2 linked regions of the Danio rerio genome follow. Each later gene encodes a partner of the first gene's protein in a complex. Links are inferred from orthologs where the notes say so. Each region holds a gene or a part of one and is shown on either strand. Other genes may lie near its edges. The genes, in order: nup58 and nup54.

Region 1 (4,413 bases):
AAGACAAGAGTTTTGAATTGGCTTTCAGATAAGCTGAATTCAGGGCAAAACAAAATCAAAAAGTATTTTATAAATATACATATTTATATAATTATTTAAATATTTACATTTATATAAATATTTATAAATACTTCTCTATTATACCAATAGAAAGACATCAACGGCAGTAAATAACACATAATAGTGTCTTCAAAATATTGGAATTCGTAACGGAAATGTAAAAAAAGTCTATTTTCCTTTAACATTTGGGCTTGTTCTTACAACAACGCTGATTTGCCATTGGGTTCACGAGCTCAACAGAAATGACTGTGATTGGCCGTGAAGGTCATCAGTTCACTAAATTCGCTGTTGTTTACTGAGTGTGACCACAGATACAGGGACACTGAAGAATTTTAAAGCCATAAAGATCGCTCGTATGCCAGCTTAAAACAAACCAGCTGCTATTTGCGGCTTTACACTCAGTGTTTACACTCAGTAAACAGCAATGAGTTCGGTGAACTGATGACCTTTACAGCCGATCATAGTCATTTCTGTTGAGCACAGATAAACACAATGGCAAATCAGCGCTGTTTAAGAATGCGCTCAAATGTGAAAGGGAGGTTTTTTAAATTTCAGTACTGATTGGTATCAAATTACAGTAATACAGTGTGATAACACTAATACATAAAATAAAATCCTAAATCTTATTACCCATTTATGTAATTTGAGACCATGTAAAATAATTATAAATTAGTCCAAACAACTGTTAAAGCATTATAAAACAACAAAACAAGACAAAAGAAAGAATCAGAGTCTAGGAAAACCTGGTTAAGTGAGGTAAAGTCATTTTAAACATGTAAATTCATTAAATCTTAAAACTCTGTTCACATTAAAAAAATGTTCAAAGATGGGATGTCCCATCTTGGTTTCTTGCACCAAATAAAAATTGCAAAAGCTTATAACCATTTGAACTAAACAGGACAATCAAATGAAAGTTAAATTGTTTTTTATTGCTTACCTAACGAAAGGCCACTTGTGGATGCAGCAGCTGCTGAAAATGTTATCAGATGATAAATCAAAAATGAGAATTAACCACAACAATTTTATTATTACTCTATCAAAATGCTAAATTAAGGAGTGTTTTCGACATAAGAGCAGTCAGGAACCTGAGGCAGGTGTACTCAAGCTGAATCCAGTTGTTGGTTTCTGTGCAAATAAACTGGTCCCAAATCCCAATGTGGAGGTGGTACTGGTGGTGGCGGGTGCCGGTGTGGAGGTCTGTGCCCCGAAACCTCCAAATGAGAATCCACCTGTGCCTGCAGCAGGTGTGCTGGAATAGACATTAAAAACATGAAACAAATATATATTACTAAAATTATTATATAACAATACAGAAAAATATCTGAACCTTAAAACAATAAACAATTCACTAACAACACACAAATATACATTTTACACTGCTATTTTCATTTGTAACACTTTTTGAATCTTGTTTAAATACAATATGAACAGCAGCTATGCTAATCATTTTCTTAAGTCTCTATTTCCACCTAAGGATACTAATTTTGAGGCCCCTAGAGATTATGCAGCGTCATTAATGCCATTCAAGACATGTGAAGAGATGATCCCAAGGTATCCATAATCCTGGACCGGGCCATATCCCGAGCTGATGCCATGGATAATGAATGGAGTGCATGAGACTGATCTCTGAAAAACCAGTGAGAAACGAGTTCCCGAATTGATCCTGTGGGGTAGCCTGACCTCCCGCTGGTGTCCTACTCACACCTGCAGCTTCTCCAGTCTCGAGGTCCACACAGGAAGTTTGGCCAAAAGAATAATAGTCATGCCCAATAGGTCCTGGTTTCTCTCAAGGTTCTCTCCCCCCCTCACTTCGTCAATTGGTGAGGTTTTTTTCCTCGCCACTGTGGCCACTGGCTAGCTTGGTTTGAGACTTGTGCTTCGGTGGATTTGCTTCACAGTGTTTGAACTTTCAGCAGTGAAATTTAAACCACACTGAACTAAAATAAACTTAAACTCTGAAAACTGGACATTGCTAGAACTATGTTAAGCTGCTCTGACACAATCTACATTGTAGAAAACACTGTATATAAATAAACATGAATTGATTTTTAAATTGTGGACAATAGTGTGCACTTTTGTCAAACACTGAAAGTGAATTGAATCTTAAATTCTACAAAAAAATGACAATACCAAATTAGGCTTTAATTACCAACACACATTTAGTTAATACTTAGGTAACCATTGAAAGAGCTAAAGTGAAACAAAAAAGCCAGAAATACAACGCAATGTTACGAACCAATAACTTCAGGCTATGATGTTGAGCTAGTTTTTAGACTTATTAAAACAAAACGCAACATTAAACATGTACACATATGCAGCACCTATATAGTAAATAACTGTAGGTTAACTATGTTTATATATAACTTTAACAGTTAAAAGCTATTATTTACTGGTTAATTAGTTAAAGTTAATAGTAACAAATAAAATTATGGTAACTAATAACCTTAACTTTTCTGAATGTAATCGTAATGCAATAATATGCGCTTTTTGTGGAGCTGCTTTGAAACAATAATTATTGTGAAAAGCGTCGACTTGTACAAAAAAAACATTAATTGAATTCGTCCTCATACCTGGTCGCAGCTCCAAATGAAAACCCTCCTCCTCCAGCTGCTGCTGGTGCTCCGGTGGTCCCGAGGGTAGTTGTGCCGAAGTTAAAGCTAGACATTCTGGACTTAAATCTGCAAAACTTGACAATCAGAATCAAGCGGGTGTGACCTCGTGGAGGCCCGAAACACACTGCTTACGACATAAGGTGCAAAATAAAAGCAGCTGCCGCGAAATTCTGGACGGTATGAAGAAAATTTGAACGAACAACTTTAAACGACGAAACAGGGGTCTAATTCAGTGTTTTTAAAATAACTAAAATCCGTTTCAAGGCATTGAAAATATTGCAGCTCAATGCTTTGCGCGCACAATGTCCTCTTCGTCTGTTTCCTCTCTGTAAAATTCAAACATTGTTTGTTCATCCACATTGCCACCTACAGGTTTGGAAGGTCCATGCCATGTTCCAAGTTCACATCTCTCTCTCTCTCTCTCTCTCTCTCTCTCTCTCTCTCTCTCTCTCTCTCTCTCTCTCTCTCTCTCTCATAATTTTTTTTGCCTTTCAAAAACATAATAATTTAGGCCAAACTCAATTCCAACATAATCTTTCACAAACTGACTGAGACATGTCGATGGAGGACGAAACCTGCAAAAACAATAAATCAATAAATACGCAAATATATCAATAAATGAGTAAATAAATCCGGAAATTCCTGCATAAATAAATCAATAAATAAACAAACATGCAAAAAAATGAAAAAATACATGTATAAAATCCACAAATACCTGCATAAATAAATATATTTAATATAAAATAATGAATAGTGCTGACAAGTAAATAATTGCATAAATTACACGAATGTTGGAGGAATAAAAAAGATGCAACAAGTTGATTTATTACCCCCCTTTCAACCTTTATACAGGTCAACATGGTAATGAGAGGCTGTCTGTCATTCATCAGAAGCCAGTAAAAAAAATCAAATGCAAAATTTTTCTAATGATCAACCAATGATGGCATAAAGACCACCTTCTAATGAATGACAGACAGCCTCTCTAAATACTGAATAAAGGTTTTAAAAAAGGGGGTATCAACTTTTCGATATTGCATTTTTTTTATTCCTCCAACATTCGTGTTATTTTATTTTATTATTTACCAGCCCACATTATTATTATTTACATATTTAATCATACAGGAATTTGTGAATTTTATAAAAAGATAAATTTTTTTATTTGCATATTTATTTATTTATCGATTTATTTTAAGTAGGATTTTCTTAATTAATTTTTCTCATTTATTGATATATATGCATATTTATGTATTTATGTATTGCTTTTGCAGGTTTCGTCCACCATACATGTCAGATATACATTAATTTAAATATAAAGCCATCACATAAACAAAACAAACAAACAAACAAACAAACAAAATTTATATTAAATAACTTAACAAAAAAATAATCAACATACTGCGCAGACATCAAACTAAAACTTGGTGAGGGTTTAAATAAAACCATATTCTTGAAACAAATCATACATTATGCCTATTTTATTTTACCCTTCTTACCCTTCATTATTCTGAAAGCGTCAGGTGGCAAACTCCTTTTTAAAGATAATCAACTGAGGAGCTGTTTTCAAAAGTGTGCAACTATGAATGAAGAATTTAATTAAAAGAAGTTAACAATTTGCAGTTAAGTCATCATTTTTGTTGTTCAAATGTAGTCCAAAATTTACAATGTCCCAACAAATAGAAGGAAACATTGAAATATATTGTATCCAGTTGCCTACATCAAACCAGAGAGGATTAATCAAATA
Region 2 (3,824 bases), on another chromosome or scaffold:
TAGTGGAAACACGGCTTTGAGGGAAGAGCGGCCGTACAGGAGGGTCCAGCGAGGCTCAGTGTGTTTCTGACTGGAATAATCCTGCAGATGAGCTTCAGACGCGCTGGCGGAGCTGCTCACTGATACTGTCAGACATCTCACAATAACATCCAATATCAGACTCAAACACCAGCACATCCTCACGCTTCAGCACATGTAGAGTTTACTCTGTGTGTGTGTGTGTGTGTGTGTTTAAATAAGCATTTCACACACATTTTAGTGCACATGTCAGACAGACCGGCCTTCAAAAACTGATCAGAGACGGCAGCGCCCTGAAGAGAAGCGGCTGAGAAGCCCTGAGCTACATGACTCCTGAACTGAGCGACTGCAGAGGTCAGAGGTCAGCGTGTGCTGCAGTCAGCTCAGTCACTCTGCACTCTGCAGCTCATTTCAGGACAACTGACACTCGACTTCTGATGCACATCTGAGCACATGTGGACCAAGTGTGTGTGTGTGTGTGTGTGTGTGTACCCAGGTGGTGTGTTCGGCCAGCAGGCTCCGCCCCCGTGCAGTCAGCTCTTCAACACAGCGAGCGCTCTCTCAGCGCCGGCGGTCCTCAGTGACGAGCGAGACTCCATCCTGGCGCGCTGGAACCAACTGCAGGCATTCTGGGGGATCGGCAGAGGATACTACTGCAGCACCACACCGCCTGTAGAGTTCAGCCAGGAGAACCCATTCTGCAGATTCAAGGTGCACGCACACACACACACACACACACACACACACACACACACACACACACCTCTGCAGATTCAAGGTGTTGTGTGTATTATTTCAGGGTGTTTCTGTAGTCCCTCTGTGCTCATCTCTGTGTGTGTGTGTGTGTGTGTGTGTGTGTGTGTGTGTGTGTGTGTGTGCAGGCGGTGGGCTACAGCTGTGTTCCAGATGTGCGTGATGAGGACGGTCTGCTGGCTCTGGCTCTGGGGAAGCGTGAGGCAGATGTGCGTCTGCAGCAGCAGCAGCTGGTCGAGTCTCTGCACAAACTACTGGGAGGAGCACACACACTTTCCGTCAATGTGGAGGGGGTGCGCGCGCTGCCGGACGACCAGTGAGTAACACACACACACACAGACTCATATTAAAGTGTATCGCAGATGAAAGTGAAGAGCAGGGATGAAGACAGCAGGTATAGAAAGACACACACACACACACACACACACACACACACACACACACACACACACACACACACACACACACACACACACACACATGTGAAGCAGTGGGGAGTTTCTGACACAGTGTCTGCTGCATGAGGACAGGAGGAGTGTGTGCTACAGCAGGTCTGTCAGCCATAAAGGAGAAGACTCGACCTCCTTTAGTGGACTCTGCTCTTCAGAAGCCCTGAGTGTAGAGCTCTTGAAGAGCGGGTTGGGCTGTAGCGAGACAGAAGCTGGGTCAGATGAACAGGAGCTGGGTTATTCACAGATTTATAGGGAAGCAGCAATATCTGATGATCAATACTGGACTGAACAGCAGCCGGTGCAGCAGGAGAACACGCGGGGATGAGGACATGTCTGCTGCAGCTTCACTGACTGAAGCTTATTAATAGAGGACGCTGGAGCAGCAGAGCCTTACAGTCATCTCATCTAGAGCTCATACAAGCATCAGCTAGCTCTGCTGAGCCTGAGAGCAGGAGTACAGTAGAGCCTCACACTGACCCTACAGCCCCCATACTGCACTGCCTGACCTCTGAACCCTGACACACTGTACTGTAGAGCGCTGTTCATCTGTGTGTGTGTGTGTGTGTGTGCACGTGCAGGACGGAGGTGATCATCTATGTGGTGGAGCGCTCCCCGAACGGCTCCTCTAAGCGTGTGCCGGCGTCGACGCTCTACAACTTCCTGGAGCAGGTGAACATCAAAACACAACTGCAGCAGCTGAGCGTGATCATGACCGTCAGCCGCACCGCCCTGAGCCCAGCACAGCTCAAACAACTGCTGCAGAACCCCCCCGCAGGTACACACACACACTGACTCCAGCACAGCCACACACACTTGTGATGCACATTGCTGATGAATAACAGACAGCTAACTGTGTGTGTGTGTGTGTGTGTGTGTGTGTGTGTGCGCGCGCAGGTGTGGACCCCATCATCTGGGAACAGGCTAAAGTGGACAATCCAGACCCAGAGAAGTGTGTGCTGATTCACTCACTCATGCCTGATGCTGCTGCTCTGATCTTCATCCTCTTCCTCTTCCTCCTCTTCAGGCTGATTCCGGTGCCGATGGTGGGCTTCCGTGAGCTGCTGCGCCGGCTGAAGATCCAGGAGCAGATGACCAAACAGCACCAGACACGAGTGGACGTAAGACAGAGAGTGAGAGTGTGTGTGTGTGTGTGTTTTACCACTGATGTGTGTGTGTGTGTTTCATTACGTGTGTGTGTGTGTTCAGATCATCTCCACAGACATCAGTGAGCTGCAGAGGAATCAGGCCACCACCGCCGCCAAGATCACACAGTACAAACGCAAACTGATGGACCTCTCACACAGAGTGCTGCAGGTACCACACACACACACACACACACACACACACACAGACTGTCTGGCTAGTTTCTGTGCTCTACTTCTGCTGAATAGGCAACACTAGTCCAACACTCCTGGCCATGATCACCAGTGAAGCGGGGGGAATCAGACATCAGTGTAGTGTAGCCGGACCGGCTCAGATGTTCATCTCCAGTCGTCAGTGCATCATCTGCTCCTTCATGACAGTTTTGTAGCTATTGAACAGATTTAGCTTGTAAACTGTCTCGTGCACATCAGTGTAGCCTGTGACTGGAGGATGAACACATTCAGTAATGGCGGATCTGCTCTCCGCTTCTGCCATGGCCTCTTTCGGCTTTAACATCCCTCAAGTTTAATAAACATTTATCAACATCTTCCTCCTCTCTCACGGCTGCTGCAGTCTCTGGCCAAGAACGACTGATGCTCAGGTTCTGTCTGATCAGGGATTATACAGGTGTGTGTACAGGCGTTCTGTTACACACTAACACTTCAGAGTGTTTCATATTCAACTCAAATCAAACACGCCGCTGCTCGAACTGTTCACTGCAGTCTGAAAATAACCCCGCGCTCCACACACCGACATCACGTCACACACCCGAGGCCAACCTCCGCAAACACAGCGACGACGTCACAGTCAAGAGAACTAGCGCACACATCGAGAATAAACCAGGCTTCACCCTCTCTCTCTCTCTGTGTGTGTGTGTGTGTGCGCTGCAGGTGTTGATCCGGCAGGAGGTGCAGAGGAAGAGTGGTTACGCCGTGCAGCTGGATGAGGAGCACCTGCGGGTGCAGCTGGAGACCATCCAATCAGAGCTCAACGCACCCACACAGTTCAAGGTGTGTGCATGAGGGGATTTCCTCCATCAGCACTGCATTCAGATCACACACACACACTCACAAACACTCACACACACAAACACACACACACACACACTCACAAACACTCACACACACATTTTTGAAATGGTTGCACTGCACAGTTTGTCCACACGATGTCGCCAGTGAACCGAATGAGCAGCAAAAGCTGTGAACACACACACACACACACACACACACACACACACACACACACACACACACACACACACACACACACACATAAAGCGGTGTCCACTGTAGTGTGTACTCTGGCTGTCAGACGCTCACTGCAGAGGGAGACTCTGGTTGTTGGCTAGTGAAGGTTTATTGATGGCAGATTCAGACTCGGTTCCTCTGCAGCTCATGCGGGGACACCGGCCGGGTCTGAGGCAGGGGAACTCTCAGGCTTCAGTTCAAGCTTAATCAA

Evidence for each region.
Region 2: the proteins of nup58 (region 1) and nup54 are in contact, whole or in part, in a crystal structure (PDB 4JO7), measured with the Homo sapiens proteins. The link is inferred for Danio rerio from reciprocal best matches to the Homo sapiens genes NUP58 and NUP54. Residues at the interface, in NP_054808.1 of Homo sapiens: Pro342, Tyr345, Phe346, Leu349, Val350, Phe353, Gln356, Leu357, Tyr360, Gln363, Ile364, Leu367, Leu371, Gln374, Ser378, Ile392, Tyr393, Phe396, Leu399, Ala400, Leu403, Ile406, His407, Val410, Lys414, Tyr417, Tyr420, Arg421; in NP_059122.2 of Homo sapiens: Tyr453, Leu459, Glu462, His466, Leu467, Gln469, Gln470, Gln471, Gly473, Leu474, His476, Leu477, Ile478, Ile480, Ile481, Asp484, Leu485, Ile488, Lys489, Leu490, Val491.

Annotation. Positions count from the first base shown.
Region 1 is NC_133199.1:28,988,486-28,992,898, forward strand, and holds the start of nup58 (nucleoporin p58/p45), read right to left. Parts: upstream 2,970-4,413; 5' UTR 2,726-2,969; coding exon 2,631-2,725; intron 1,310-2,630; coding exon 1,146-1,309; intron 1,031-1,145; coding exon of another isoform or gene 1,028-1,030; coding exon 998-1,027; intron 1-997. UniProt on the Homo sapiens protein: Component of the nuclear pore complex, a complex required for the trafficking across the nuclear membrane.
Region 2 is NC_133196.1:117,010-120,833, reverse strand, and holds part of nup54 (nucleoporin p54), read left to right. Parts: intron 1-514; coding exon 515-729; intron 730-899; coding exon 900-1,087; intron 1,088-1,801; coding exon 1,802-1,998; intron 1,999-2,117; coding exon 2,118-2,172; intron 2,173-2,247; coding exon 2,248-2,341; intron 2,342-2,429; coding exon 2,430-2,537; intron 2,538-3,256; coding exon 3,257-3,376; intron 3,377-3,824. UniProt on the Homo sapiens protein: Component of the nuclear pore complex, a complex required for the trafficking across the nuclear membrane.